4 linked regions of the Cricetulus griseus genome follow. The protein of the gene in region 4 binds, or shares a complex with, the protein of the main gene of each other region. Links are inferred from orthologs where the notes say so. Each region holds a gene or a part of one and is shown on either strand. Other genes may lie near its edges. The genes, in order: Clta, Gipc2, Tom1 and Myo6.

Region 1 (7,573 bases), on a different chromosome or scaffold from region 4:
GACAGCTCCCCCAGGAAGAGCCACCATCTTGAAGTAAAGGCTAAGCTAGGATTTCGTCTTACTGTGGGCACGTGCTTCAGATCTTTCATTGTGTTAGTGTCTGAAAGGAAACCGTGTTCTTGACCTCAAACTGATTGCTAGTTACAGGGTTTATGGAGACTTGAGGTACCATCCTGTGAGTGACATTTCCCAATTCATTCATCATTTGAAAGATGAATCAGTGTTAGGAAATGTGTTAGTAATAGTAACTTCCTATTGCTATGATGACATAGTATAAAGTCAGTGTAAAAGAGGAGGGTTTAATTTGGCTCACAGTTTCAGAAATGGGCCACTAGCTCTATTACTTTTAGGTCTGGCAAGACGGAAACTTCATGGCAGGACAGACAGAAGAAATCTGTTCACCTCATGGCAGCTAGGAAACAGCCCGGGAAGCCAAGGACAACATAGACCTTTAAAGGCACTCTTCGTAGCCACCACCTCCCAGTGGTCCATTCAGTTGTGAATCAGTGGATTGATTCATTAATTAGGTTAGATCTCTGTGGTCCAGTCACTTTCTAACAAATAGCACCATGTGCGCCGCCCCCCCCCCCCTTTTTAAGTTTCATATGAATGTTTTGACTACATGTATGTTTGTTCCACCTGTGTGTCTGGTGCTCGACATGTAGGCAAGGGTAGCTTAGAACACACAGAGATCTTGCCTGCCTCTCTGCCTACTAAGTGTTGAGATTAAAGGCTGCACTGTCATGCCCAGCTCTTAGATGATTTTCCTTGTAGTTATATTGTGTATCTGTGTGCCTGTGTATACTCACTTAATTTTAGATTTGTTGTATTTTGTGTACATAAATGTTTTGCTTACATGTTTTTATGTGTACCATGTGTGCCAAGTGTGCTTGGTGCCTTCAGAGGACAGAAGAGGGTGTAGGATCCCTTGGAACTGAGATGGGTAGTTGTGAGCCAGCACGTGGGTGCTATGAACCTCAAATGCTTCTGCTGTAGGAGCAAGTGCTTTTAACTACTGAGACATCTCTCCAGTCCTGTATATACATGCTTTATAGAAATTCTTGCACATACTTTTGTTTTGGCTGATCTGCTCTATCATACAGACATGACTTCCTATGTTATTCTTTTTTTTTTTTTCCCCAAGACAGGGTTTCTCTGTGGCTTTGGAGGCTGTCCTGGAACTAGCTCTTGTAGACCAGGCTGGTCTCTAACTCACAGAGATCCACCTGCCTCCTGAGTGCTGGGACCAAAGGTGTCTGCCACCAACACCCAGCATGTTTTATTCTATAACTCTAGAAATACCTCACTCTTCATGTACTGGCACCAGTAGTAGGTTTCTCCCAGAACACTGACCTAGTGAAAACATGACTCCTTATTTTTCAGGTGGGGTAACTGACACCTGGAAACAGGAAAGAACTTGACCCAAATAACCTAAGCAGTTAATGCCAGATCTTTTATCCCTAGCACAGTTTTCAAAGCTTTCAGAACAAAGAGTGACCCTGCATAGCAGTACTTGGTATAGATACCTGGTATCTATACTGATGGCCAATTGGTCTTTGTTTTTAATAAAGTTTGTGTTGTGTCAATACATAATATAGTAGCCATTTGATAAAGTAGTGTGTGTATGTGGTAATAAACAATTTAGTAGCCAGTGACCACATGTGGGTATTCAGGTACGCATGACTGGAATTCAGGTGCTCAGTCTTAAAACACTGTTCATTTTTAGTAAGCTTATACTCCAGTTGCAATGTGTGTCTGGAAACTAATGTATTGGAGAGTGTAGCTTCAGGGAGATGAATAACAGGCTGCTGGGTGTCTGTGCCTTTATTGAAGGAGAGTTTGTCTTCACAGACAGAAGTCTCTTTTTTAAAAAAATTACCCAGTTTGTGTATTGAACTATTTGAGAGTTTTTTTTTTTTTTTTTTTTTTTTTTTTTTTAAGAGGTCTTCTCCCACCTCCACAGAGCCTCACAGTGTAGCCCTGCTTGGCCTAACATTTGTTGTATAAACCAAACTGGCTTTAAACTTACGATCCTCCTAAGTGCTGAGATTACAGGTGTGCATCACCACTCCCAGCTCAAGGTAGCTTCTTGAGGGAAGTCAAGCATTTGGCCTTGTATTTCAGTCAGACTGTCACAGATTAGGGGTTTCTGCAGTTTCACCCTTCTCTCTGCAAGAACGGAGAAGGCACAGATGTTAAAATAGAGCTGGTGGCCATGTTCTCAAATAATCTTGCTCTAAGGAGCAATGAGGGTGGCTGGGGAAGAAGGTGCCTGTCAGTGTGCCTTGCTCTCTAAGGAGACTCTTCCTTTCTGCTCACCTAAGTCTCTGTCCCACCAGGTTAAACCCTAAGGATTCTGAGTTACTTCTCGTGGTAGTCCTAATCAGCAAGGCCAGAAGACAAATGTCCTGTTATAGATGGTCACAGTTTTACTTCTGTTAGACCAATCCTTCTTAGAAAAATGTCTGTCTATTCTAACCCCAACATCTAATAATATAGACTAGCTGTGTGATACATACCTCTAATCCTAGCACTTGGGAGACAGACAAGTGTGAGGCCAGTCTGGGCTGTATAGCAGGTTATTGTCCATTTTGGGCTACTTTATGAGACTCTGAAAAAAGAAAGATTTTTTTCCCCTAAAGACTGAATCTGGCTGGGCGTTGGTGGTGCACGCCTTTAATCCCAGCACTCGGGAGGCAGAGGCAGGCGGATCTCTGTGAGTTTGAAGCCAGCCTGGTCTCTAGAGCGAGTGCCAGGATAGGCTCCTAAGCTACACAGAGAAACCCTGTCTCGAAAAAACAAACAAACAAAAAAGACTGAATCTGTCTGTTATGTATCACTTATATCTTTGGCTGTCCTGGAACTTGCTATGTAGATCAGGCTGTTCTCAAACTTCAGAAATCCACCTGCCTGTGCCTCCCAAGTGCTGGGATTAAAGGTGTGTAGCACCATGCCCAGCCCTAACAAAAGCAATGATCATTAGAATACATGGAAAGGATATATTCCAATCTAAAAGCACTTAAATATTTTTAAATTTTTCCTTATTTGTTGGGGAACCTGCATAAGACTGAATTAGACTCCCTTAATATAGGTGACAGTGGTTCGAGTGGGATAATGTATGAGGCCATTGGCAGTGGGTCCAAGATCTAACTCTAGTCACAGTCTGACATAGTGGAGCCCATTCTATATGGAGAGATACCTTGCCCAGCCTAGACACAGGGGTGGAGAGGTGCCTTGGTCCTGCCTCAGCTAGAAGATGGGACAGACTTAGTAGACTTCCTAGGGAGGCCTCTGTGTCCTTACTTGTGTGTGTGTGTGTGCTCGTGTATACGCATGCACTCATGCTTTTGCTTTGATGTGCACGTGGAAGCCACAGGGATAGCTTTAAGGAGTTGGTTCTTTTCTTCTACTGTAGGGATCCAGAGAGCGAACATGGGACATCAGGCTTACACGGCAAGTGCTTTTACCCACTGAGCTATCTTGCCAGCCCAAAAAGGGCTTTTTGGGAAGTAATTCCACTTTGCATCTAGGTTTGGTAGAAGCTTTTTAGTTCCTTGAACTTCATCAACTTCCAGAATCCTCTGTTCTACGTGTGCTGTGGACAGGACCATCAGAAGTTTCCTGGCTGTATATTAGAGTCCTTAGTGGAAACTCCAACTAAATGAGTCCCCCCTGAGTGCTAGGCCATCTTCTAATGAGTTCAACAACAAAATGGAGAGCTTGTAATAATGACGTGAAACTTGGCAGTGACTCCTAATCATCACCAGGCTACTCCAGCTAGCTGTAGCCTGTGCTGATTATTGGTGCATTTCTTGCAAAGGTCATAAAAGTGCCCAGGAATGCTCTGTTTCTTCAGATGATGACTTGGCATCACCTTACTTTCTACCTCCTTCTCCAGGATACTAATTACAGCTTTCGCTCTTGCTCTGTGTTTTTAGAACTCTCTGGATTACTGGTAGCCTTGATGGTCACATCATGTGATTATTTCCAGGCTTGCATAATAAGGAAGTCAAGTGTGAGCTTGAGAGCAGACGAGGTCTTTGCTCTGCCCTTAACTGTGCCAAGTCCACTCAGTCTTCTGAGGTGGTTTGTTTCTTTTCCCCTCACTGCTGAAAATGGACCTAGATTGATCTTGGGAGTACTGTACAGATTTCGATGCATGTAAAACACTTGCTGGAGGGGACGCCCTTGAGAACATGTGACCATTAGAGTGAGCTCAAGTGCCAAGCACACTACACCTTGTGACAGATGATGGTCAGCTAAACACTTTAGAAAAACCATATTTAATCTTAAGAAGCTTCACATTTGGTCTGGGAAGATGGCTAAGAGCATTTGTTGCTCTTGCAGAGGACCCAGGTTCAGTTCCTAGCACCCACATGGCAGCTCACAACTGTCTGTAACTCCATTTCCACAGGTTCTCATGCCTTCTGACCTCTGGGTACCTGCATTCTCGAATGCACACACATTTACACACAGGAATAACAACAACAAAAACGTAGAGAAAAGACATTTCATGTTTGAGAATCCAGACTAGAAACCCTGCATGTGTGAGTTTTCTCCCTCTCGTGTTTTGAGTAATTCTGGGTGATTGTCAAACAGTGATCCCGTGTCCTTGGTCCTGCAGTCCCCTCCATCCCTGCTTGCTTTCACAGCTGGCTCTGTTACAAGCTAACTCCGTCTGTGGCTCTGTGTCCTACCAGTCCTGGATTCCCAAGTCACTTCTGCCTCTGCTAATTTTCTTCTTAGACCTGCCTCATACAAGTGTTTCTACTGTGTTTATAGTTAGGAGAGCAAGTTAGTGTTTTATAAAAACATGAATGGTTACTGTGGGGGTAGACTGTACGGTTTGTGGGAAGAGTAGAAGATACTGTTCACTTGGGACAGTGCTCATCTAGCATGCACAGCATCCTGAGGCCAGTCCCCAGCATGGCACTAAATGGGACAGAGTTGTACATGTCTGTAGTCTAGAGATGTACATTTGGGAGGTAGAATCAGGAGAACCACAAGTTCAAGGTTGTCTATGTTCAGAGTCATCCTGACCTATATGAAATACTGGCTCAAAAAAGAAAAAAGTTGTATCTATCCCTGTGCACCACATGTGTGACGTACTTGTAGGGGTCAGAAGAGGGTATCAGATCCCCTGGAACTAGAATTAATGTGTGGATGTGAGCCATGTGTGATAGATATGGGTGTTGGAAATGGAGCGTGGTCCTCTGGAAGAGCAAAGCAGCCATCCCTCTAGCTGCTTCCCGTCGTTTTCCCAGCGTATACGTACACATACATTCCCATACTTAGGTAAATTCAGTAAGACCAAAATGTTACATGTTGAAATGTACTTAAATTTTGCCTTCCCTCAGTTGTATTCTTTCCTCTCTTTTAAAAGATGCCAATTCTCGGAAGCAGGAAGCAGAGTGGAAAGAAAAGGCAATAAAGGAGCTGGAAGAATGGTATGCGAGACAGGATGAACAGCTACAGAAAACAAAAGCAAACAACAGGTCAGTCCACTGTGGGTCTCTGTGACTGAATCACATCCATTTTCCAGATCCACTTGTATGAAAGGTCTTGGCCAATTTGGAAGAAACTGCTAGAAACAAGCTGCAAAAACTCCTGGGTCTTATGAGAATAATTCAGCCTGGATTGAGTTGGGCTCTTAAACTGGGTTTGGTTTCATTGGCTGTAATGGTGTGATCCAGGGAAGTTAGCACTGGAGAACCCTGAGATGAAAGGTCAGTTGCAGAGTCTCATTACTTGAAAACAATTACAGACTAACTTAGGCCACATTCCATAAGTGTAGCCTTGCCCTCCTAACGAGGCTTTGTGAGGGTCCTTAGAATGGGCATGCTCTGTAATTAGGTAACTCAGGATATTCCAACATGGACTACAGAATTAAGGGTTCACTGGCTTCTTCCTATGCTTAAGGTGTCTTGAATAAAATGCTGTTTTCAGAATACATTTTTCATTTGCTGAAAGTTAATAATGTAGGGAGAAAATGCTCATTTTCCTGTCATTACCATGCATTAGCTGTGGTATGCACTCATTTTTGAGGAGCCCTTCCTTGGATAGTTTAGCAAGACACTTGTGGTATAGCCTCCTGTAGGCAAGGCATTTTAACTTGCTTTCTGCTGGATTCAGAGCCACCTTTTACTGAGTAGGAGGCATGTCACTCATTTCATTGTTTAAAAAAACAAAAATGAAACACAAGACAGACAAGGGTGGGGCGTTGGGTTGATCTCTGAGGGCTGGGTCTGGCGCTGCTTTTTGGGCTGGTCTTAGATAGAAATCTGTCAGAAAATGTAGCTGATACCATTGTGAGGTGTCTGTGACAGAATAGATGGGCTCTTTCATATGGCAGTCCTATGAAACTTCCTGTGCTTTTTTTGGTCCTCCTTGGCACTGTTCTTTGATGCCAGGCCCAGACCTCTTAACCTGGTCATTCTCTGAGGGATACACCCTAGAACAGTGTCTTCAGGTTCTATTTGAAATTTTATGTCAATTAGGGTGGAGACTCCTGTCTGGTCAGGGCTAGTTGCCACCCAGCCGCCCCAAGCTTGTGCTGTGCTGGTGTGAAGTGCTGACAGGTTCCTCTGCTTTGCCTCCTCTAGATGATTGCCCCCCAGGTTCGAGTCTGATCTGTAGTAAAGAAGGGTGCTGTGGTGTGGTGATATTCCCCAGCAATGATGTACTCCACAGTAACTGGGCCAAATGCACTAACTCTTCCTGTACCAGATCCTCAGGACTTCACAACTTGACAAATAGATTTCAGACTCAATAGTGAATGTATTGGGAACAGGCTTCCTGTTGCAGAAGGTTTTGCTTACTGCCTCTCTAAAGGAGTGCCCCATGTATGTTGTAGGACTTAACCTTAGAGGCTGAGGTGCTGAGCATGCAGCCAGATTGTAGTACTTTTCTTTTCTTGCAAATGTAGGGTATTGAGTTGTGTGATCCCCTCATGTTCCAGAGAGAAAAGATTTCTCATGGAGTGTTAATGTGACACTGCTACAATCCAGCTTCAGTGCCTGTCAAACCTGCTCACAGGCTGGAGTCTGTGCATAGAGCTGGAGGTACTCTAGCCAACCACCCCCAGGCTCCTAGGATAGAAGATATGTCCTCACTATTGCAGTAGTTTTGTTTATTTTTTGAGACAGTCTCTTTGTGTCGTCTGGGCTGTTCTGGGCTCTCTCTGTGAGCTCCGTCTGGCGGGTGACCTCCACCTCACAGAGAGCCCCTGCTTGTGCCTCCAGAGCAGAGGGTTAAGTTAAAGGCATGCACTGCTGCCGCTGCTGTTGCCACCACCACCACCAGGCTTCCAGTGATTTCTTCAGAGGGTCAGAGGATGGAGGTTAGGAGGCATTGCAGATCATTAGAAGTTCTAGAAATGAAGAAAGCTCTGTGGTAGAGCACTTGCCTACCATATTGCAAGGCCCGGAGTTCAGCCCACAGCACCACAGAGTGAAGGAGGAGGGTGGAGGTCAAGCCATTTATGGACTACAATCTGGCTGAGATAGAAATGAATGCTTTGTATGCACAGACCTTGTCTCAAAAAAAAAAAAAAAGAACCTCACCAAGACATTGA
Region 2 (7,150 bases), on a different chromosome or scaffold from region 4:
ACTTCCAGTGGCCCCATAGATTAACCAGACCTCCAACTGACATCCTCGTTCAGGGGGTGTGGATCAGTCCCATGCTGGTTTCCTAGCTATCAGTCTGGGGTCCATGAGCTCCCCCTGTTCAGGTCAGCTGTTTCTGTGGGTTTCTCCAACCTGGTCTTAACCCCTTTGCTCATCACTCCTCCCTCTCTGCAACTGGATTCCAGGAGTTCAGCTCAGTGTTTAGCTGTGGGTTTCTGCTTCTGCTTACATCAGCCACTGGATGAAGACGCTAGGATGACATATAACATAGGCATCAATATCATTATTGGAAAAGAGCATTTAAGGAAGCCTCTCAACTATTGCTTATATTGTTAGTTGGGGTTGAACTTGTTGATCTCTGGACATTTCCCTAGTGCCAGAATTCTCTTTAAGCCTATAATGGCTCCTCTATTATGGTGTCTCTTTTCTTGCTCTCCTCTATTCTTCCCTTGACTCAAACTTCCTGCTACCTCATGACACCTGCAAAGAATAGCCAGTTAGCCAGACACAGTGGCAAGCATCAGCAGTCCTGGGTATTTAGGACTAAAGTAGGACCTGGGCTAGGACCAGAGTAGACAACACAGAGAGGCCTTGTCAAAAGAAAAGAGCAAAGGCGAGGAGAACGGGATGGCTCAGCAATAAAGAGTGCTTCCTGTGCTGGCATGAGGGCCAAAGGGTACGGTTCCATGCATGCCCGCAACCACAGCACGGAGTGGACAGCAGCACACATTGGGTACCATTCCATGCATGCCCGCAACCACAGCACGGAGTGGAGTGCAGACTAACTATGAGAAAAGGAACGCTAAGAACAAGAAACAATGAAGAACAAGATTGCTGGAGCTAGCTAGCTCCCAGCCTAGCCAGAGAAACATGAATTCCACATTCAAAGCAGTTCTCTCACTCACACACACTCGCTAACACAGTCACACGCTTGCACTTCAGACACACACTCACACACTCTCCTACATACATACATATTCCCACACTCTCACACTCATGCAAACACACCAAAAGAAAATCACAATGATGATAAAAACATATAATAAACATTTCAAATCTACCATCTACTGACCAAAAAAAAATTACACTTTTGTTATTGTTTAAAGCACCATGTATCTATGAGACTCCGACTTCACCTAGCAACTTTCCCGTTCCTAAAACATCGGCTCTTTCTTTGTATCTAAGACTGTACGGGCATTTTTGAAGCCTTCAAAGGAGACTCGCTGAACACTAACCAACAGATCACACTAACAGCACACAGAAGAATTAAACAGCTGGACTCTTAGGGGATACTTGTGCTCCACATTAGTTCAAGTGGCTCACATGCAGGGTTCAGACTAATAAACAAGGAAAATCAGCCAGAGTGTTGCTCTACTGTCACAGAAGAGGTGACAGCAAAAGCGACATCTTTAGAGAAAAGGACAGAGTTGTCCCGACAGTAACCCTCATGAAAAAGGCATTACCTCTGGTTTCCCGGAAGACACCCTCCCGGCTATCATGCCTGATGACAGCCGCCGTGCCCAGTGTTTTCCATCAGATGCACTGGAGCGCTCGGCCACGCTGTCCTCCACCTTATTAAATGATCTACTCTGGAGCCATTTATTTCCATCTCCATTGCATTTGTGAAATGTCCAAGAAGAGTGAGACTGTCATTTCCCCTCAATCTTCTCAACAAGGTAAGGGTTGGAGGAAGGGTGCGAGAACTCTGAAATAACAGCCCAGCGCGAGTCTTTCCACTCTGCCCTCCCCCTTATTTCCACCGGGAATCAATTCCTGACAGCGTTCCCTCCAAGGTTTGGAAGGATGAAAACGATTGCTGCTTAAACCACACACACGCACACCAAAGGCGGCATCTCAAACACAGTTATTTTCTGAGCAAATATATTTCCAAATAAAAGTTCTACAAATATAAACCCTGGCCTGGAGGCCTTAGAAAAGTTATCAGGAAAGACACTGTAGATGGAAACAGAAAGAATACTTCAAAGTCAGGAAAAAACAAAAAGCACAACTGCTTCTTCCCGTCACTTTTTCAATCCCCAGCCCCTACACACATACACACAACATACAAACACATACACACATACACACACATGTACACAAACATACACACACATGCACACACATACACACACATACACACAAACATACACACACACATACACACACAACATACAAACACATGCACACAAACATACACACACACACACAAACACACACAATTTGTGCACACAGCACAACTTCAGCCAATTGCTCTTAAGGGCAATCGTAATTTTTTTTTAAGTCAATGCTTTACAAAGAGTGTCCTAGGAACCAGTAAGCCAAAACAATCTTGCTCATTTAAAAATCAAAACTGTGCTTCTAGATTGTGGCAGATGTCATCTGTATTTCATTTTCTATATGTATCCTGTTTAGATTAATGTAGTGAAATGAAGATGTTAGGAGGTAAATCGGGCTCTAAGCCTAATTCCCATCGTGTTAAGATTTTGGAAGAAAGGAGTCTGGAGAGAGGGTTCAGCACTGCAGAGCACTGGCTGCTCCTGCAGACAGCCCAGGTTCAGCTCCCAGCACCCATGTGCAGCTCACAGCGGTGTGCAAATCCCGCTGGAGAGTTACAGACAGTTGCAGACGCCCCCTTGTGGCCTCCTCAAGCAATGGTACACATACAATCAACACACACCGTAATGACAAATACACTTTTTAAAAGATAATGGAGGACCAATACCCACAAAGCTGCTGTAAGCAACCTACTTAATGTGCCACGCAAGGCATGAGTGTCAACAGGGGACGAGACCACCCATGTAGAAATGTTTCTTTAAAAATCACTTTCAGAGGCTTTTGAACCAACATTAAAATGAATCATAGTTTAATTTATCTTAAGCATACTGCATAGGAAACTATATTAAACATTATCCATAAATCAGAATTACGTTTCATAGACTGTGTCTCATACACATGAAGCTAAAGCAGAGTCCATAAAGATCCCTGAGAGTCCCCAAGGAGACTGCCCTGGAAGGAACCCTCGTCGTTTCTGAGGAAGACTGTCCACACCATCATCTTCCCTGTTTCACGTCGCCAATGGCTCCCCACACATCAAACACAAATTCGTCAGGAAAGGCAAAGTCTCCCAGAGTCTCATCAAGTGCCACGGCAAACTCATCCGGGTTGCTTTTGTCTTTTCCAGCTTCAAACATGGTCGTAGCTGTCAATGATAATTTTTAAAGGTTAATAAGCCATGAGCCAGCACCAGAGGACTGACTCTGTCCTCTGTATCTGGTATGAAGCTGTCACCACTGCCCTGTCCCCAGCCTGAGAGTCCATCACTTGGGAGTCTCTAGAATTCTTTGGTGTTGTTTTGGTTTTGGGCTGGTGTGGGGTATATGAATATGCACAGAGAGGCAAGATGCAACCTTGGGTGTCAACCCTGAGATGCCAGCCACCTTTTTGATGCCCTCACTGGCCTGGAGCTCACTAGGCAGGCTGTGCTGGCACCAGTAATCCTCCTATCCCCACTTCCCCAACACTAAATTCTAAAGCCTGCACCACCACATCTACATTTTACACGGGCTCTGTAGATCAAACTTGTGTATCCAAGAGAAGTATTTTACTGAGTCCTCTCTGCAACCCTCCAGCAATTCTGAGGGTGGAAGACACATTTTAAGAAAACCTCATGGCAGCCGGGCATTGGTGGCACACGCCTTCGATCCCAGTACTCGGGAGACAGAGGCAGGCAGATCTCTGTGGGTTTGATGCCAGCCTGGTCTACAGGACAGGCTCCAAAGCAATACAGAGAAACCTTTTCTCGAAAAACCATAGGAGGAAGAGGGGGGAGACAGACAGAGAGAGAGAGAGAGAGAGAGAGAGAGAGAGAGAGAGAGAGGAGGGAGGGAGGAGGGGAGAGAAGAGAAGAGAAGAGAAGAGAAGAGAAGAGAAGAGAAGAGAAGAGAAGAGAAGAGAAGAGAAGAGAAGAGAAGAGAAGAGAGAAGAGAAGCTCACGGCTAACGTCACCAGGAATCTTAGCACACACCTCACCTCCCCACAGTAACACCCTCTGTGCCTTCCATCCACGCCCTACTCCCAACTAGCTGGAGCGTATTCTTCGCTTTCCAAAGGAATAGTTTACAACTACAGCGGTTTGAGTTCTGCAGCATCTTTCTTGAGCACCTTCTGGTTTAGGACTGAAAATTAGCCATGGGATGCGTGGTCTGCCTTCCTAGGAAGCTACTTAAACTCTGTGTTCTATGTCTGGGAAACAGCACTCCCATGAGCACACATTCCCTAAGGACTTTGCCCAGGATAGAGAAGCCCATGAAGTTCCACTCCTGAGACGCACAAGTGACCACAAAGGATTTTTTTTAATGCCACATATTACAGCTAAGTGCTGACCTCTTGTGGCCACTCTGAGAGTATTTTTATGCTCCTACCACCACAAAATTTTGACCAACACAGTCTCCATTAAGTTTGTGAATATTTAAAGAACTTTTAGGTATAAAAATTGACCTATTACTTAACATTTTTATTATATGTGTGTATGTATATAGTTATATGTGTGTGTGTGTGTGTGTGTGTGTGTGTGTGTGTATCATGTGTATATAGTGTGTGTGTGTGTGTGTGTGTGTGTGTGTGTGTGTGTGTGTGGTATCAGGGTCTCATATATGCCAGGTAGATGTTCTATCTATAAGCTGTACCCTCAGCCCTACAATATGTGTTTTAAAACATTGTTTATTTATCTGTTATTTTTTATGTGTATGGATGTCTTGCCAGCATATATGTCTGTACACCATAAGTCTGCAGTGCCTATGGAGGCCAGAAGAAGATGGTACATGCCCTGTGACTGAATGTCACAGATGACTGTGACATGCTGTGAGGAACAGGTCCTCTGAAAGAGCCACCAGCACTCTTAACCAATGAGCTGTTTCTCCAGCCTCTGCAGTGCACTTTTTAATAAAAATCTACTCCAGATTTCATTAATCTCAACTCAGAAGGAGCTCTTCACAGTGTGTGACTTCACTGACCAGTACCAGGAACCCAAGGAAGAAATATGTTCCCCCCTATGGAAACACCATTAATATATATCTTTCTAACCAGCTATCAAAGGTATTGTGGGGGAAAGAACCTAGGAACTACCATTTTAATTGCCTTCCCACACATTCTAGTATTTTTAACAGATTAACTTTTATAATTCTTAAGCTGTCAAAATTAGTTTCAAAATCCTAGACTGGTATCAGGAAACACTGTAGGTACACAGGCAGTTACACCATTGCCTTAAATCTTGAAGGTGGAAAGTACAACAATGTATCCTTGAGTTAGATCACCCACACACACACACACACACACACACACACACACACACACACACACACACACTCAACATCTTCTGGAATTTTTTTTCTTTACAGATAACATCTCAAGGTAATTAGCTTGGCTGGTTGAAAAATCACATTTCACAGCGTAGCTTCACAGCCATTGACGTACATTCATCCTCAGAGGTATTTCCTACAAAGACTCATTTGAAGCTAGGCGGTGGTGGCCCACACCTTTAATCACAGCACTCGGGAGGCAGAGACAGGCAGATCTCTGAGTTTGAGGGTCACCTGGTCTACAGAGTGAGTGCCAGGAGAGCCAGGGCTACACAGAGAAATCCTGTCTCAAAAAAGCAGAAAGAAAGCAGGAGCAGGAGGTAGGGAGGCAGGGAGGGAGGCAGGGAGGGAGGGAGGGAGGGAGGGAGGGAGGAGGGAGGGAGGGAGGGAGGGAGGGAGGGAGGGAGGGAGGGAGGGAGGAAAGGCATTCCCAGAAGCTAGTAGTACTGGCTTGCTGAAAAGCAAAGGCTTTCATTTGTCTGTTAGGTTAACATTTCTGAATTACATTTCATGCTAATCATTTCTGAACAACAGAAATTCCTAATTTAACCACAGCTGAAATTCTTCAAATAATTACTTTCCTTACACTTTGCCTCCCTAAGTGACTGATGACACTACTAATCATGTATGATGACAATGGCTTCGTGTCAATCAAAGGAATTTGCTACAGATGTTTAATTAAACTAACAAGGGACCACTGGGTGATTTCAATGAATATTTTAGAATATTTAATGGTCTGCATTTCTGAGCACAAGAGAAAATTCATTCTTCTATTTTAAGGTTCTTGTCTAAATTACATTTATTTCTTCAGTGTTTTTTTTTTTTTTTTTTGTGTGTGTGTGTGTGTGTGTGTGTGTGTGTGTGTGTGTGTGTTTGGGGAGGAAACATCTGGTGTGAGGTGATATTTTGTTTATGATCTAACAATTAAAGTCTACCTAAAGATCAGAGTGCAAAGCTAGTCACACTCGCCAGTCAGAGAGGCCAGGCAGTGGAGGCACACACCTTTAATCCCAGCACTGGGGAGACAGAGGCAGATGGATCCCTGTTAATTCAAGGCCACCCTGAGCTACACAAAGTCGATCCAGACTAAAAGAGGAATAGAGCTCACCCAAAGGTGATCTCAGCACTTGGGATCCCACACCTTTAATCCCAGCACTAGAGAGGAAGATAAGGCTGGAGGGGACAGGAGAGCAGGGCAGTCTGAGGTTTGGAGGAGACAGTTGCAGTCTGAGGTCAGGATCGCCCTTCCTACTGGTCTGAGCATTGGTAGAGGTGAGAACTCTCCAGTAGCTGGCCTGATTTGCTTCTCTGATCTTCAGCTTTAACCCCAATATTTGTCTCTGGGTTTTTATTATTAAGACCTATTAGAACTTGTGCTACACTGGTACACCACAGTGTGGATTATGAATGTCAAAAGACAACTTCAGTTTTCAGGAAGCCGTACTCTCCTTCCACCTTATGGATCCCTGGAACCAAAGTTGGGTCACCAGGCTTAGTGGGCAATGGCTTTTACCTGCTGAACCATCACATGAACCCAGAAGATTCATCTTTAAAGACTTATGATTTAAATCCATTTATAATCATTTCCCTGTTATCCATCACTCTGCTGTACTGTATTTGTGTTTTTTAAGATTTAAGGGTTTCAGAGATGGCTCATCTATGATGAACACTTGTTCCTACAGATGACACAGGTTCAGAAAACAGCTTCTACATGGCAGCTCACAATCATCCATAATTCCAGTTCCAAGGGCTCTGACGCCCTCTTCTAACCTCCG
Region 3 (8,286 bases), on a different chromosome or scaffold from region 4:
AGCTGACAGGAGCATGCCTGTGTCTCTAGCCCACTTTCCCATCTCTCGCTTGAACATGACATTTCTCAGGGACCACAGTGAGGCATGCCACAGTTGAGCCCTTTCTCCTTGTTTGCAGTCAAACACGCTGGACAACATTGCTTACATCATGCCTGGACTGTGACCTCCAAGAAGCCTGGGACAGAAACCTGTCTACCCCTTCGCTAGTTTATGTATATATGACTGTTCCAGATCCTCCACTGATCTCTGGGTGTAGGTTTTTAATTTTTGTATCTATCTATACATATATATAATGTACAGTATATACATAGGATTATAACTACTTTGCTTTTAATAATTTTATGAAATGGCAAGGGTTTAGCTGAAAAGGAAACTTTGGCATGAATGTGGGTTTGGGATTATTTTTTTGTGTGAAAAAAAATCTGCCTTAAAAAATCAGTGTAATTTGGGGACTAGGGGCTTATTCTGGGTGCCATGTGTATCTCGTTATAGACAGCTAAAATGTGATTTTTTTTCCCCCAAGCTTGGTTGTACCTCCAGACCCATCACTGACCATTTGCCTTACCTGTCTTATAATTGGAAATATAGTAAAGATTATGGGAGGAGACCAGCTGACTACAAACTATTTGACTCAAAGTGACCTGAGGGGAGGTAGAGATGGCTTAGGCGGACTAATAGGGGACTCATTCCATTTCTACTAAACAGGTATCTGTGTCTCCAATTTTATTGTAACCATTGTTACCACAGAGTCATTGATACCACTGATAGCCTTAGTTATGTGATTCTTGGCAGCAGAGAAATAGCTTGGAGAGGCCAAAGCTGTTGGTGCCACCTTTGAGCCTACATTGGCTGGCCAAGAAGGCTTGGTCTATAAAAACCAAAGCTGGTATCTTTTGTTTTGTTGGTTGGCCACCAAATCCTGAGAGATTCTGCAGCTTCTTAGTTCAGCTCTGGTTCCCCTGATGGGCAGATTGTGCTCTGCATTCCTCACACATGTGGATCACAAAGGAACCCTCGGTTCTCAATGGGGTTATCTATGTGTGTATGTGAGCATATATTTTAATTATGTGTATTTAACTCTTTAGAATTTTTAGATTTTAATTTATCCTGTAAATTTCTGTATATATAATTTAATAACAAGCCTCCACCAGCAGTAGCATGTGGAGCATACAGACTTGTCATTTCTTCGTGTCTGTCTAAAAGCTCCAGGTCATCCATATGTTAAGGTGTTATGACTCAGAAAGGAGCTTCATGGCCCTCAATAATGTTAGCAAAGTGAAGTAGAAAGAAATGTCACAATTCCCAACTGCCCTTATTCCCAAAGACCTGCTTCCCCATTAAAAGATAGTTGAGCACTCCAGAGTTGTTTGGAAGCTTGGTGTGAGATTCCCTTCCCTGCCAAAACCATGCTGAGGTAACCATGCTTTCTCCCTCTGGCCTAAATGGGACAAGGCAGCATCACAGTAAGCTTTGGGGACCATGTAGTCAGCTGCCATCCTGTTTAATTCCTTCCCATATAGCCTCACTGTGTTTCATAGCTTAGCGCCTCACAGGCGTTCTGGACATCCAGTCTTTCTCAGTTCAGAGCAGTGTTGAGATGTATTCTGGGAAATGGAGAAAGAAACAGGAATATGTGGGAACTGAATCAAGAAGAACCAAAATTTAAATTTCAGCTAACAGGTCAGAATCTCATTTGAACCTGCAGAAGTTTCCTTTAAGAAACAGGGTGTGAAGGAGAGGCCAAGAAGGCACACATAGTGCAGGAAGCAGCCAGTCCTCTGTTGTCATTGCTACAGACAGCAGTGAACTCCTGGTGATAACCGGCTTTTTCGTGTTCATTTTCCTCTGAAACCTAGCCCTGTTGTATTTGTATTAAAGATTTGTACACATTTGTATAATAATCTGTAACTTGTGGTATTTGGTACTATTAGAAGAAAAACTTTGGATTCAGGCCTTCTTGCTGTTTTTATATCATTGTTTTATTTTGTTTTTTAAATAAATCCTAGTGGTTTGATCCAAATCTTACAGTTGTATAAAAAACAAAATTTTGTACTTATATTAAAGATCTCATTTTTAATATTTGTGGTAGCCTTAGCTGTCTTTTCCCTTGGGTTACTCATAGTTGCTATAAAATTATAAAACTGTTATTCACTCTGTTCTACTCTTAATTTTTCGATAAAAGAGGTCAGGAGCTGAAGAGATGGTTCAGTGGTTAAGAATACTGCCTGCTCTTGCAGAGGACCCAAGCTAAAGCCCAGCTCCAGAGGATCAGGCACCCTCTCGAGCCTCCTTAGGCATCAGCACACAAATACATACACACACACAGATACACACACATACACATAATTTATATTTAAAAAGTTTTAAGCCAAAACCTGGAATAAAGGTCAAGTTTTCATATTCTTACCCATCCTGGGTCTCAGGCTCCCAAGTATCATTTGCATATTGTAAAACTAGAGAACCTGATAAATTGTGGCTCTAATGCTTGGCCAGTGAAACCCTATACATTATGGTATTGGCTTAAATCAAGTATCCATCAGTATTTTGTCAGGGTTGCATGAAAATCCTGTGCTGAAAATATATAGTCCATGTCCCAGGAGCTTCCAGAGTCTTGTCTGAAGGGGAAAAAAAAAAAGACTCGCTGTCTCTGAGTCTATAGCCAGCTGGCCCAAAGTGAATGTTTGGTAATATTATGAACATTAAATATGTGGAAATTTGACCTTTCATGATTTAAAAAAAGTTAATAGAATACAACATGTTAAAAAGTATAAGTAGTGGGGGCTGGGGACCATTGGCTGTTCTTCCAGAGGTCTTGAGTTCAATTTTCAGCAACCACATGGTGACTCACAACCATCTGTCAAGATCTGGTGCCCTCTTCTGGCTTGCAGTCAGAACGCTGTATACATAATAAATAAATCTTTAAAAAAATTTAAGTAACAAAATAAAACTGGTGTTAAAGGCTGGGTTTTAATGATCACGACTGTAATTCCAACACTCAGGAGATCTGAATTTGAGACTAGCCTAGGGAGAGTATATATTAAAAAAAAAAAAAAAAAAGGCTGCAGAGTATGAGGAGTGAGATGGTTCACAGGTACTAGCTGCCATGTTTAGTCTGTGAGACCTACATAATGAGGATTGCTGCATGTTGTGATTTTTGACCTCTGTATTCACCATGACACACACACACTAAAGAGAATTAAAACATGTCTTATAAGGATAAGTCAAAGAAGAAATCACCGTCATTGAATGCCCATTACTGAACAATTTGCATGTCATCTTAATACTCTCAAAGCGTTATGGATAGTGTCCCCCTTTACCACTGAGGGAAACAGATGCAGAAAAAGCACTGTCCCCATTTGCCAAGTAGAACTGCCCTGGACATAGATGGAGTTCATTCGCTGCCTTAAGAGAGCACAAGTCCAGACCCTTGCCTCCTCTGGGCTACCCACAGGTGGCTCGTGGAGCAGGGAGACATCAAAAAGTCAAGGAGGCTGTTACTCTCAGGGCTACGTCCCCAGGACTAAAGGCTAAGACCCTGCTACCAGCCTGGGCTTGAGTTTGTGTAACTTGATCCAAGTCTTTCCCTGGCCAGAGACCCAGTTTCCGGATGTGAAGACTTCTAGGCCCCGCCGCAGAGTGAACTGAGGCCTTTCAGGGGCGTGGCCTGGAGGGCGGGGCCTCGGGGCTGTGCTCCAGAGCCGCCGCCCCGCGGGCCGGCCAGCGGGTCACGTGACGGGTCGGCGGCGCCGGCGGTTGCTGTCACCTGATTCTGGGAGCTGGTGGCAGCGGTAGCTGCGGCAATGGACTTTCTCCTGGGAAACCCGTTCAGCTCTCCGGTGGGACAACGCATCGGTGAGTCCCGGGAGCCGCGCGCAGCCGCGCCCCTGTCTAGCTCTGGCCGGGGACCTGTCGGAGTCCTTGGAGGAGGGAGGCAGACGGCGAGGCTGGCGCGGCGCTCTTGGCTCCGCCCCACCTGTGTTTCACCTGATTGACAAGATTGCGGACCAGTCAGAAGCCTCGTGTGGGGATTGATGCTGAGGGTGACCAATAGGCAGGGAGAGGAGGCGGATGTGGCTCAGCCAATGCGCGCGTGCTGGGGTCCGGAGTAGAAGGAGAAAGTTTAGGTTAAAGGGACTGCTGTGGTGAGCCGGTGTGGGGCCCCGCCGCCGCCAGGCTCGGGCAGGCCGAAGGTCCCTCCCGGGTTGGCCGCGCTCAGGTCATTCGCCGCGTCACCGGCCCCTCACATTCCGGGACTCCTGAGGTGTCTGGGCTCGGCCACGCCTCTGTCCCCGCTGTCGGGAGACTCGGGTTTGTGTGACGTCGCCTCGACCGTAGTTAAGGGACGGTGGCCCGGCCTTCCTGGGGTTGTTTGATCATTACATGCATTATTAAGCGCAAGGCACTGAGGATGCTGCCTGACACATGGCTAATGCTTGTCATTGTCACTGTGGTACCACCTTGTGGGGCTGGAGCCCGTGGGAAAGTGCCGGTTCCCAGTACCTACTCAGGTGGCGACATTTCTCCAGGGATGGGTGGTCTGGGTGTGACCCCTCTTCTTGTCTGAAGGGTCCCGACAGCATTGTGTAATTCTTTTTGGTGGCTTTTCTCCTTGGATCCAGACTGAACAGGCTGGATCTTTTAGTTAAGGCATTCTTTGCATTCTTCCTGCCAAGGCTTCCCCGAAGTCGTTAGCCCAGCTTTGTGTTGTAACCGCCACTGCTGTAAGTTTGGAGGTTCTCATCAGTTCTCTGCAGGGCATTGCTAGTGCCTGAAACCCAGGTGCTTCGCAAAAGCCCCATCTTTGAGTCCTCGTTTGTGACCTGGAAAGAGAAGACAACCCTCTTCACAAACTTCCTATGTAAAAACAAGCTAATTATTCCATTCTTCAAAGCCAACCACAAAGTCCTGAGACTTTCTGGATGTGCTTATTTAGGCTCAGTGTGCATATCAGTTGTTCAGAACTCAACACCTCTTCCTACCCTGAAAGGTTGCCTTCCTTGGGCAAGAAATACTTCTGGACAGACAGAATGGTGCTATATCAATACCTCAGTGCTAACTACATCTCACAACTGGACCCTCTGCCTTTTTTATGTCAGAATTGGCTGGACCCATCAGATTCAGACTGGCATCTGTGGAGTTCCCAGTAATGCTCTTTGCAATTGGCTAGGAGACCACAAATTTTACAGGTGTGAGCCACCAGAAGCGGTGGCTCACACCTGTAATCCTAGCACTTGGTAGACTAAGACAGGAGGATTGCCACCAAGTCTCAGGCTACCTGGACTACAAAATGAGTTTCAGGGCAGCATGGAGCTGCAGAATAAGACCCTGATTCAAAACAAAAAATACCAGTCTGCAAAGTCCTGTTACTGAAGGGAGGGGATTGAGTTCTACAAAGGGAAGGTGGTGAAGACTGAGACTCACCCAAAAACCCAGTGAATTGATAGCACAACTGAAATGAGCCTTCCAGGGCTACTAAAGAGGCTGTAAAAGAGCCCAGTGTGGTGGAGCATGCCTATAATTCCAGCCCTCAGGAGGCTGAAGTGGGACTATTTTCAGTTCAAGTCCAGCCTGGACTACATAGAGAGCCCTACCTTGAACAATATCAGTGTTCCATAGTCTTCCATGTATAGAGAGACAGAAGTACTGGAGATTGAAAGGGGTATGTATCTGTCTGTCTGAGATAGAGTCTCAGTTGTTGCCCAGGTTGGCCTGGAACTTATGGACCCAAGCAGTCCTCCCTGATCAGCTTCCAAGTATCAGAGACCTTGTCCCTATGCCAATGGGCCTGGCTGGCTGTGATGATCGATGGCCAGGTTTTAGGTGCTTGCATTCCTGTAATTCAGACCCTCCCCCCTCCCTTTGCTACAGGAGTAAAATGGTGTCTTCTCAGGTCTGGCTTCATGCCCTGAGAGTAGAATCTTGTATGATTGGCATACTAGAGAACAGCAATCACTAAATGGTGCTAATCAGGGCCCAGTGTCACTGTCCTCACAATTCATATACACCTGATGCTTGCTGGTCTCACTGCCTACAATGTCTGCTTCTGGGAGGAGCTGGGCTCATCCCTTAGAGCACTGGGCACCATCACCTCTTCCCTGCGGCCTTTCCTAACTCCAGCTCCAATTGCTGCTCTTTTGTTCTCTTGTCACTCTGCTTCCAGTAGGCACAAAACAGCTCTCACCTCAAGGGAAATCAGAGATAGTTTATCCCTGAGCCAAATATGAATTGCTGTGACCCAGGAACACAGATTCCTATCACCCCAAATAACATGATCCAGTATGGGAAATGGTTTCATGATGTTTTCGTAGCTACAGAAAACAAAAGTAAGCCAGAAATCAGGCAATTGGGATACAGCAAAGCACGAATATCTATGCTGCACTTCTCAGGTGCTAGCTGATGGCATTCCTAGCCCTTGGGTTGGTGGACACTAGTTTTCTATTAACTTATTCCAAAAGTGTTGCCTGATAGTCACAGACTTGTTAGATCACAACTCGGAGATGAGCAATACATGCTTAATAAAGGGTCTAAAGCAAGGTCATTTGTCTCAAGATCTGCAACATTTCCACTCTCCACAATCACAAAGTTGTTGTCAGTCAGCCTTCTAACATCTTCAACACAGAAGTAGCTTTTCTGAGAACTTCAGTTTGTATGCTTCGACTCTTCTGCTTGAGAGTGGTTGTAAAAAATGCCAATTCCCCGGAGAGTGCCTGCACAGCGAGAGGGTGTAGGGAATAGGGAACACCAGCGCCTGCTATCTCACCATCATTTACTGTTTCCACCTCCGTCACACAGATGTGCCACCATCCCTGCAAGTCTGCCCTCAGGCTAGGCTTGACTTGAGATCAGGAGCTATCCCTTCCTTTCCTGGTGCCTTAGCACCTAGCAGATTGTGAAAAAAGAAAAAAAGAAGGATGTAGCTGCTCCTAGGTGTGGTGGAGGAGAAAGTTTTTTATAGACTAAAGGGAGAACATAGTGAGTGAGCCATACCATGTGAGGAAATGGGGAGGGAAGAGGACACACACACACACACACACACACACACACACACACACACACACACACACACACATACACACACACACCAGAGGGTAGAGCTGTCCTTGGATTCCCAAAGCCTACCCATAGGCCCATGGACAGAAATCAGAAATGAATGGCCAGCATCAGGGCTCTGAGGTTCCTTTGGGGAAGATAGGCTAGAAACACACAGGCTAGGCCATGTTGTAGATGTTGGGCAGTCACTGTCTACTGCTGACTATCTTCTATCCCCATCTGTAATGAAACACAGAGGTGCCCCACTTCCTCCCTTCCCCAAAGACAGTTGAACAGCAGCTGAAACGTAATTGAAATGGGGAACAGTTCGTACTACAAGGCACAGAGGGGCAGTGTGGTGTTACAAAGTCAGTGCTGGGCTAAGCAGCCAACTCTGGACCTGTCAGAGGTGTGCCAGTTACCTTGTTCATAATGAGATCCCCTGCTACCTCTTGATGAAAGGTAAAGGTCAAAGGAGAAGTTGCCTTGGAGGACTCTTGCATTGGCTGTTAGGGTGGACTAGAGCAGGCTTACTCTGCAAAGGGCCACAAAGTCAGTCCTCAAGGCTTAGGAAGGCCATATGGTCTCTGTTAAATACTTCAACAAGGCCATTATTGCATAAGAGCAGCCAGAGACAATAGGTAAATACATGGGTGTGGCCATGCTCCAATAAAACTGTGGGCTGTAGAATTTGAGTTTATGTCATTTCCATGTGCCATTAAGTATTATTGTTGTCGGTGTGGTGTTGCATGCCTTTCATGCCGCACTCAGGAGGCAGAGGCAGACAAATCTCTGTGCGGTCCAGGCCAGCCTGTTCCATGGAGTGAGACTTAGTCTACATAGGGCTATGCCCTGGCTGGACAAATACTAGTAAAAGGCCAAGGTGACCTTGAATCAAAATACTAGCTCTGTGTCCTGGAGTAGGTTATTAACCTCACTATCTTCTGGTCCTTCATCTGTATAAGGAGGCTAATAATAGCACCTGTCAGGTGGGATTGCTGTGTCATGTGTGGCATTTGAAGCACTTGGACTGGTGCCTGCCAGGCAAGAGGAGTCCACAGCTGGGGACTCTCATTGGTGGTATCACTGTTCTGGGCATACTTGGTGACGGAGCTAAGGTAACAATGCAGGGCCCAGACTCCAGGGCGGCTTTTGTGTTAGTCCTTGTGTCCCTGTGATGTGAACAGTCACTGGCTGGGTGGCTGGGCGGCAGGGCATTCACAGCAGGTCAGGTTTCAGGCTGTAGGATGGAGCCAG
Region 4 (7,573 bases):
TTTTTTGGGAGAGAGCGAGACAGAGAGAGAGACACAGAGAGAGAGACAGAGAGAGACAGAGACAGAGACAGAGACAGAGAGACAGAGACACAGAGAGAGACAGACTCTTAAATAGACCTGGCTAACTTGAAGCATTCTATATAGCTGAGGATAGCTTTGAATGTCTGATCTTCCTGTCACTACCTCCTGAATGCTGGGATTGCCAGCATGTGTCACATTGCTTGGCTCTAATCGTATTTTTCAATCTTATGATCAGCCCTATTTCAAAGGTGGTCTCTTTTACAGCTCTGAGACAAGGCCTCTTCCTCTCATAGTTTCAACATCACTTGCAAATATGTTACTTGGGCCAGACTGGAACTAGGTTTTTTGTTTTGTTTTGTTTTTGTTCTTTTTTGAGACCAGTGTTTTTCTCTGTGGCTCTGGCTGTCCTGGAACTCACTCTGTAGATGAGGCTGGCCTTGAACTCAGAGATCCCTCTGCCTCTACTTCCCAAGTGATGGAATTAAAGGTGTGTGCCACCACCACTTGGCTCCAAGTGGCATGGTAAGATTTGAAGAGCTGTTATAGCAGGGTTCCTCCCTGTATTATCTTGCACTATAGCTTTATAAAACTACAGTATTTCAAGTGACTGAGAAAGCTAAGTGGAAAAACAATAGTGTCTGTCTTGACTTTCTCAGCCTCTCATCCTGAAGACTCTGGTTTAGAGGCACAGAGAGGTGAAGCAATTGATCAGAATTAGAGTTACATTCCACTTGTAACCTGACTGATTTGGATGCGTTGGCTAAGCCTTTGTAGTGGTACATAAGCAGTAGCTGGGTATCTTGTTTTAGTGCTCTTTCTTGTGCAGTGTGTTTCTCCTTAGACGTTCACAAGACGTTGTGCTTGTGTTTTGACTTAACTACACTTCACTTCTAGATTTGGTTGTTGTATATGGGCAGATAAACATGCTACTCAGAAGCAGTGCTACACCCAACTGACTTACAGTTCTCAAATGCTTTGGTGAACACTGGAATGTTCTCCTACCAGCACAGTCATTAGAATCTGAATATAATGAAGCTCATCACTGGAGAAAAGTTATATGCTTAAAATGAAAATAAACCAGCTTTTGTTTTATAGCCTTTACTGCTAAAGGTGTTTAGAATGGCAGTATGAGGCAAACTATAAGAAGGCCTTTGTAGGTTGGACAGTGAGATGTGTGTGCTGCTTATGGTCATCAGTCTTGTTACTACTGAAATATCTCTTGTGAAGAAGCAGGTTATTTAGCTCATAGCCTGGGGGCATCATAATCCATAGCATAGCACAGGCTCTGTGGTGTAGACCACCTCTTGGCTGCATCCCCTCTTGGCACAGAGCAATGGCTACAGGAACACATAGTTGATCTCCAACCAGATGTAGAGGCTCAGAGTTCATTGTTGAAGAAGAGGCAGAGAGACTGTAAGAGCAGAGGTGATGGGCGAATATAGGACATGGTGTTTTCTGGATACAATCAGAGGTACCAGGCTTGCTCTTTTTATAGCAACCCTCTTGTAAGAACTCAAGGGAACAGGTGAGAAACCACCTTGTCAGAGTGTGTATCCAGTCACCCAAGGGCCTCTTACTGGGTCCTCCTTCCCAAAGGCTCCTCTGCCTTCCAGCAGTATCACTTTGCATCACAGTGGGCTGGTGGGAATACCCATGCAATATTGTTTGTAGCTTATTCTTAGAGCCAAAGCCATTTGTCATTTGTAAAGCTATTTTTTTTGTATGTATAGCACATGTCTTCTTGAGACAAATTGCTTTGCAACTATTTTTTTTAAATGTTTTTTTGTGGTGAGATATTGTTTATGAGTTATTAAAGCTTGTGTTTGCTGTGCAAAAATGAGTTCATGATGACATTTTCATAGGAAATTATGTCATGCATTTTTCTCATATCCTCCTCTTTATCCTCTGTTGTCCCTCTGTTCTTTCTTGCTGGACCCTCCTCTTCACAAGTTAGTCTCCCTTCTGCTTTCAAGTTACATGAGAGAAAATGTAGGATATCTGTCTTTCTGAGTGTGGGGACATTGTTGTTCCATTAGAGGGTCTGTTTATATTTTAGGAAGCTTCTGCAGCAGTAGATTTTCATGACTGCTTTTAGGAAGTCTTTAGCATGAGTTATCTCTCCCCATATTTCCTCCTTTATCCTGCCCTTCTGTTCCTCACCCTTTTCCCCTCCCTCTTTTATTCTGCTTTCCCATTCCTACCCCATTTAACCATTGTTGTTCCATTATTCCCCTTTATGTTACTGCATCCTATTCCCCCTCCCCTGAAAGCCCCACTTCCTAATGGTCCCCTACTTATGTCTTGACTTCTATGGTTATTCCAAATGACACACACACACACACACACACATCTGAAGATTCAAGGCTAACACTCACAAGTGAGAGAAAACATGTGATGTTTATCTTTGTGTGTTTGGTTTCCTCACTCAGCTTTAGCAAAAATGCAACTCTAAGATTTACAGGCAAGTGGATGGAGCTGGAAATAATTTCTGTAGATTTATTTTTCAGTTGTTTTTCTCTCTCACAATGGATTCAGTTGCCAAATTTCTCATTGGAAACTCATTGCTTCTTGTTTTTCACTGGGGACCTCATTAGTTATGCACACTGAACATTTTCTTTCCCTCTGCAGATCTGCTCTGGCATTTGGGCAAGCTGAGCCAAAGTCAATGTGGAGACAATCTAACACTCTAGCACAATCTTGAGATGTTCGGATTTCCTATTACTTGTCTTTTAGGAACATTGCAAGTGAATGCTTACAGAAACCTTTGGATGACTTTTAACACACATTCATGACTTCTTTAGGAGTAAAGACCCTTACACTAAACTCTTGTCAGTGACTCAGCTTGCTGTATTACTGTCTTACTTTGCCTCCAGCTGACAAGGCTTTTCGAGACATGAAGGTGCTCAAGATGAGTCAGTCTATCATTGTGTCTGGAGAATCGGGAGCTGGCAAAACAGAAAATACAAAGTTTGTTCTAAGGTGAGTATTTAGCTGATCTGAAATGTTCTGAGCAGTAGTAAAAGAAAGCTTTACCACTAAGTTTGTCGACTGCCCACTTTGAAGTTCAGCAATGCTAAGCACACTCACATCGTCACATTCATGTCATTGCGTTGTTTCTATTCCTCACCTCACAAAACCCAGAACTGTACAAAGCACATGAATAAACTATTACTCCTTCAGATGCTGTACTCATTAAATAGTACATAAATAAGATATTACTTCCTGTTTGGGTTTCTATGAGTTTCTCTGAGTACCTATTTAAGCAGCATCATATAGTATTAGTCTTTCAGTGACTTCTTTGTTTCATTTAGTTTAATATGGGATTCACTCACGTTTGAGCTGGTTATAGTGACATGCACCTATGTGTGTACACACACAATTCACACACACACACACACACACACACACACCCTCAGCTTCTTAGGAGATTGAGTCAGGAAGATAACTTTCGTTTCAAGGGCATAGGAGCCTAAAAAACTTTATAAGACCCTGACTCTTAAAAAGATATAATCACTAGTGTTATAGTATGTTATAGTATGCATTAGAATTTCCTTCCTGAATTTTAGGGCTGAATAAATTTCATTGCAGGAATTTATTTTATTTGCTGTATTTGTACATGTATTGATAGGCAGTTGGGTTGTTTCTGTTATTTGGCCATTGTGAATAGTGCAGTTTTGAGTGTGTGTGTGTGTGTGTGTGTGTGTGTGTGTGTGTGTGTGTAGGGGTAATCACAGGGTATTTAAGCAGATTGACTTTTAATACTGTTGTATACTGTATGGAATAGTTTGGAAGAAAGAAGCGTGGAAGTCAATCTCTCTGTTGTAGATAGCTGGCTCTGATGTGTTGTTTCTTGGAGGATTCTATATGAAGTTAGTGCTTGATAGGCAGTGACAAACCCAGGAATATTCTTTCAAAATCCAAATGGACATTCTATTGTCTTTCTTTAATTAAAATTTTTATTCATTTTACATACAAACCACAGTTCACCTTCTCTCCCCTCATCCCTCTCCTCTCCTTATGTCCCCCCAACCTACCCCACATCCACTCCTCAGAAAAAGGGTAAGGCCTCCTGTGAAGAGTCAACAAAGCCTGGTACATTGAGTTGATGCAGGACAAAAACCATCCCCCCTTCATCGAGGTTGAGTAAGGCATTCCATCCAAAAAGCCAGCTCATGTACCAGGGATAGATCCTGGTCCCACTGACAGGAGTCCCACAAACAGACCAGGCTACCAAACTGTCGCCCACATGCAGAGGGCCTAGTTCAGTCCCATGCAGGTTCCCAGCTGTTAGTCTAAAGTCAGTGAGCTCCCAGAAGTTAAGTGAGTTGTCTCTGTGGGTTCCCCTGTCTCATTCTTGACCCCTTTTGCTCATATAATCCCTCCTCCCTCTCTTTGATTGGATTTCCAGAGCTTGGCCTGGCGCTTGGCTATGGATCTCCATTGTATTCTCAATGTTGGTGCTTTGAAATATATTTGAAACTACTTTTTATTTAGACTTCCTCTTATCCCTCTCTCATCAGATCCCCTTTCTACCATTATACAAAACTCTCAACACGTGGTGTATAGCCACAACCTTTTTAAAGTGGAAGGAGCATTGCCACATGACTATAGTCTTATTCTTTAATTTAAATTCTGTAAATTGTCTCATTGCTGTGACAAAATATCAGACAAGAAGGAATCAAGAGAGGAAGAGTTCATCTTGACTCATGGTTCAAGGGTTCAAACACACCATGGTGGAGAAGGCGTGCTGGCAGGAGTTGGTCACATTGAAGCCACCCACAGTCAGGGAGTAGAGAGGGATGAGTGAGTGCTGTCCTTAGCCTGTTAGACCTTCTCCACATGGTCTGGGATCCCAGTACATGGCATGCTGTCACTCATGCTAAGGGTGGGTCTTCCCACCTCAGTTATCTAACAAATATCAATCCCTCACAGACGTGGCCATAGACCTGTCTTCTAGGTCATTCTAGGTCCTATGGAGTTGATGATCAATGCCAATCATCACACATACCAAAGGAAGTTAAATCCAGTGGTGAAGATACTGCTAGGACCAGCACATTCTGAATTATTATCAGTATTGTTTCTAATTTATTACAGTTCTTAGTTTTTTCATGGTGGGGTTCTTTATGAAGGTTTCTATTTCTTATGGAAGTGTATAGAGTTATTAAGTTAAATAGTTAATGGGATACTTATGTAAATCTAGTTGAAAATTTGTTAAAAATCAGAGTATTTCCAAACATATAATTCCATGACCTGCACATACCCACACAAGACACATACAGAAGCATAAATAAAAATATAAAAAAATTTAAAAACAATACTAAACAGTTACAATGATGATCCATGTTCCATGTTTCAGTTTGATATATATGTTAAATAGTAAATTTATAAATATATTGTCCTGAATATTATTCAGTTTTTTAAAATTCTATATTTTAAACAGATACCTGACAGAATCTTATGGAACTGGTCAAGATATTGATGATAGAATTGTTGAAGGTATTGTTGATTTTTATTTTTTAATGTTGGGTACCTCTAAAGTTAACTTAGAAGAATCTTATCTGAGACCTACAATGCTTTTCTTTCAGAGGTGGAAGAGACTTTCTACCTCCTATAAATATTTGCTCAGATATTACTTTCATGCTGATCTATTAACCTATTGTCTTTCTCTGTGCCAGAGGCTAGTCTCATAGATGACGTTAGACCTTGTCCACTTGTCAATCAAAAATAAAACCATGACAGCGGGTTAACATTTCACACTTGTGGAATTTGACATTGCTGGATAATTCTTCCATACTAATATTTCTAAAAGCATCTATTCCATCACTTTCCCCGAATTTTCCCCTGTGGAGATGTAATATGTATATTGCTTTATAATTTCTCTTCATGCCTTTCTCGTGATTTTTCTGGTGAAGCATTTTCATTTCTTTTTCAACAGCTAACCCTCTTTTAGAAGCCTTTGGAAATGCAAAGACTGTTCGTAACAATAATAGCAGTCGATTTGGAAAATTTGTGGAAATTCACTTCAATGAAAAGGTAAAAGAAAGCTGCTTTTGGGATACATTAGGGGAGTGTTTGTGGTAAGTGTAAGGGTCTTATTAGAATTGGAATTAGCACAGTTCTTCCTAAGATTATTACTATGATTATTATTGTAATTATTATGGTGTGTGTGCTTGTGTGCATTTACAGTGACTTCAGAATTTCTATTCAGTTTAAATTAAAATATTGGAGTTGACTGCGTTATCAATCATAGCGTTGTAGTTAATTTTTTCTCATACTTGATTCTTTCATTGTTTTGATAACATGTAATAATGTTCATGTTCACGGGCACAGCATGGTACATAGTGATGTGTATATCTGTGGATCTGTATAGTCTGTGAGGATCACATCAGAGCAGTTAGTGTCTTCTCAGCATGAGGTGAGTTTGATGGCAGTCTGACAGCTCTTCAGCAGCTGCCCAGTGGGCTGCTGGGGACACTGGGCCGACCACAAAGTCAGTTCTGATTCTGCAGAGGCTCAAAAGCTAGAAGGGATCAGGGTGGAGACCGGATGATAACAGTGTTTAAAATGAAGGATGAGCTGTAGAAATACTCTGAGCTTACATTTAGTTTTTTTTTTGTAATATTTGATAAATTTTTTGACTTCTTTGCTAAGCAAATGATTATTAGAAAAGATTGAATTAACATTAAGTTATATTTCAGTTCCATAGATGCAAAAAATGTATTTTCTGTTTTGTCTTTTAGAGTTCAGTTGTTGGAGGATTCGTTTCTCATTATCTCCTAGAGAAGTCTAGGATCTGTGTTCAAGGCAAAGAGGAGCGGAATTACCATATTTTTTACAGGTTGTGTGCTGGGGCTTCAGAAGACATTAGGGAGAAGCTTCACTTGAGTTCTCCAGATAATTTTCGGGTAGGTTGAAGGAAAACACATTTTATACGAGGTTTGCAAATTGTTTACTCTCTCAGTGCTAAAACTCACTGCATTTTGATACCTAGATGTATTTGTATATAACTAACATTAAATGAAGTATGGTGGGCTTTCTGAATCTGCAGATTTTATATCTCAGGCTTAATTAATCATGAATTGAAAATATTGGGGATAAGAAAGAATACATCTATACTGAGCATGTATTAGTTCTGTATTATTTTTACTAAATAGCAAGGAATAATATTCCTTCGCAGAATGTTTACATTGTAGTAAGGATTATAAATAATTTCCACATAATTCGAAGTATTTGACAGGCTGTGTGTTTGCAGATCATGTACAAGTGTGATGCTGTTTTAAAAGGTTCGCAAACTTAGGTATCTACTATCCAGAAGGGGCCAAGGTATTGATTCCCCTTCGACACCATGGATACCTGAGATGTAACCAGATGATGTGTTAGACTTATAGTCTTGCTGACGACCTCTCTGTTGAGATTTATTTGTAAGTCTATCATGAGTTCAGTATCTCTAATATGAAAACCCCAAATCTCAAATACTGTGAAGTCTGGGTCTTTGTAGTTTTGAATTTGTGAGCTCACCAGGAAAATGAAACTTTATGCAAATACTCTGAAA

What was found.
Region 1: the proteins of Myo6 (region 4) and Clta are in contact, whole or in part, in an NMR structure (PDB 6E5N), measured with the Homo sapiens proteins. The link is inferred for Cricetulus griseus from reciprocal best matches to the Homo sapiens genes MYO6 and CLTA. Residues at the interface, in NP_001355794.1 of Homo sapiens: Met1053, Thr1054, Pro1055, Met1058, Ala1059, Met1062, Ser1087, Trp1089, Lys1090, Tyr1091, Glu1113, Arg1117, Leu1118, Val1120, Tyr1121, Trp1124, Asn1128; in NP_009027.1 of Homo sapiens: Glu47, Asn48, Glu50, Ala51, Phe52, Ile54, Leu55, Asp56, Gly57, Gly58, Ala59, Pro60, Gly61.
Region 2: the proteins of Myo6 (region 4) and Gipc2 are in contact, whole or in part, in a crystal structure (PDB 5V6H), measured with the Mus musculus proteins. The link is inferred for Cricetulus griseus from reciprocal best matches to the Homo sapiens genes MYO6 and GIPC2. Residues at the interface, in NP_001034635.2 of Mus musculus: Ser1055, Lys1056, Trp1057, Lys1058, Tyr1059, Arg1084, Arg1085, Leu1086, Val1088, Tyr1089, Trp1092, Lys1093, Asn1096; in NP_058563.1 of Mus musculus: Glu255, Leu256, Tyr257, Met258, Gly259, Ile260, Asp262, Asp264, Leu265, Thr268, Thr289, Leu290, Asp292, Phe293, Ala294, Pro296.
Region 3: the proteins of Myo6 (region 4) and Tom1 are in contact, whole or in part, in a crystal structure (PDB 6J56), measured with the Homo sapiens proteins. The link is inferred for Cricetulus griseus from reciprocal best matches to the Homo sapiens genes MYO6 and TOM1. Residues at the interface, in NP_001355794.1 of Homo sapiens: Ile1182, Phe1184, Trp1202, Gln1214, Glu1216, His1218, Asp1220, Lys1221, Pro1222, Ile1224, Leu1226, Glu1234, Met1235, Cys1236, Leu1238, Glu1242, Thr1243, Gly1244, Leu1245, Arg1247; in NP_005479.1 of Homo sapiens: Ser440, Glu441, Phe443, Phe446, Leu447, Arg450, Ala451, Ala453, Ala454, Asp455, Leu457, Pro458, Asn459, Leu460, Ser461.

Annotation. Positions count from the first base shown.
Region 1 is NC_048595.1:99,473,687-99,481,259, reverse strand, and holds part of Clta (clathrin light chain A), read left to right. Parts: intron 1-5,383; coding exon 5,384-5,495; intron 5,496-7,573. UniProt on the Homo sapiens protein: Clathrin is the major protein of the polyhedral coat of coated pits and vesicles.
Region 2 is NW_023276806.1:7,254,872-7,262,021, reverse strand, and holds the end of Gipc2 (PDZ domain-containing protein GIPC2), read right to left. Parts: intron 3,218-7,150; coding exon 3,069-3,217; 3' UTR 2,968-3,068; downstream 1-2,967.
Region 3 is NC_048596.1:150,804,570-150,812,855, forward strand, and holds the start of Tom1 (target of Myb protein 1), read left to right. Parts: upstream 1-3,694; 5' UTR 3,695-3,800; coding exon 3,801-3,852; intron 3,853-8,286. Other genes in the region: Hmgxb4 (HMG domain-containing protein 4), read left to right, coding at 119-163.
Region 4 is NC_048597.1:191,154,056-191,161,628, forward strand, and holds part of Myo6 (unconventional myosin-VI), read left to right. Parts: intron 1-2,894; coding exon 2,895-3,000; intron 3,001-5,461; coding exon 5,462-5,517; intron 5,518-5,956; coding exon 5,957-6,054; intron 6,055-6,761; coding exon 6,762-6,926; intron 6,927-7,573. UniProt on the Homo sapiens protein: Myosins are actin-based motor molecules with ATPase activity. Unconventional myosins serve in intracellular movements. Myosin 6 is a reverse-direction motor protein that moves towards the minus-end of actin filaments.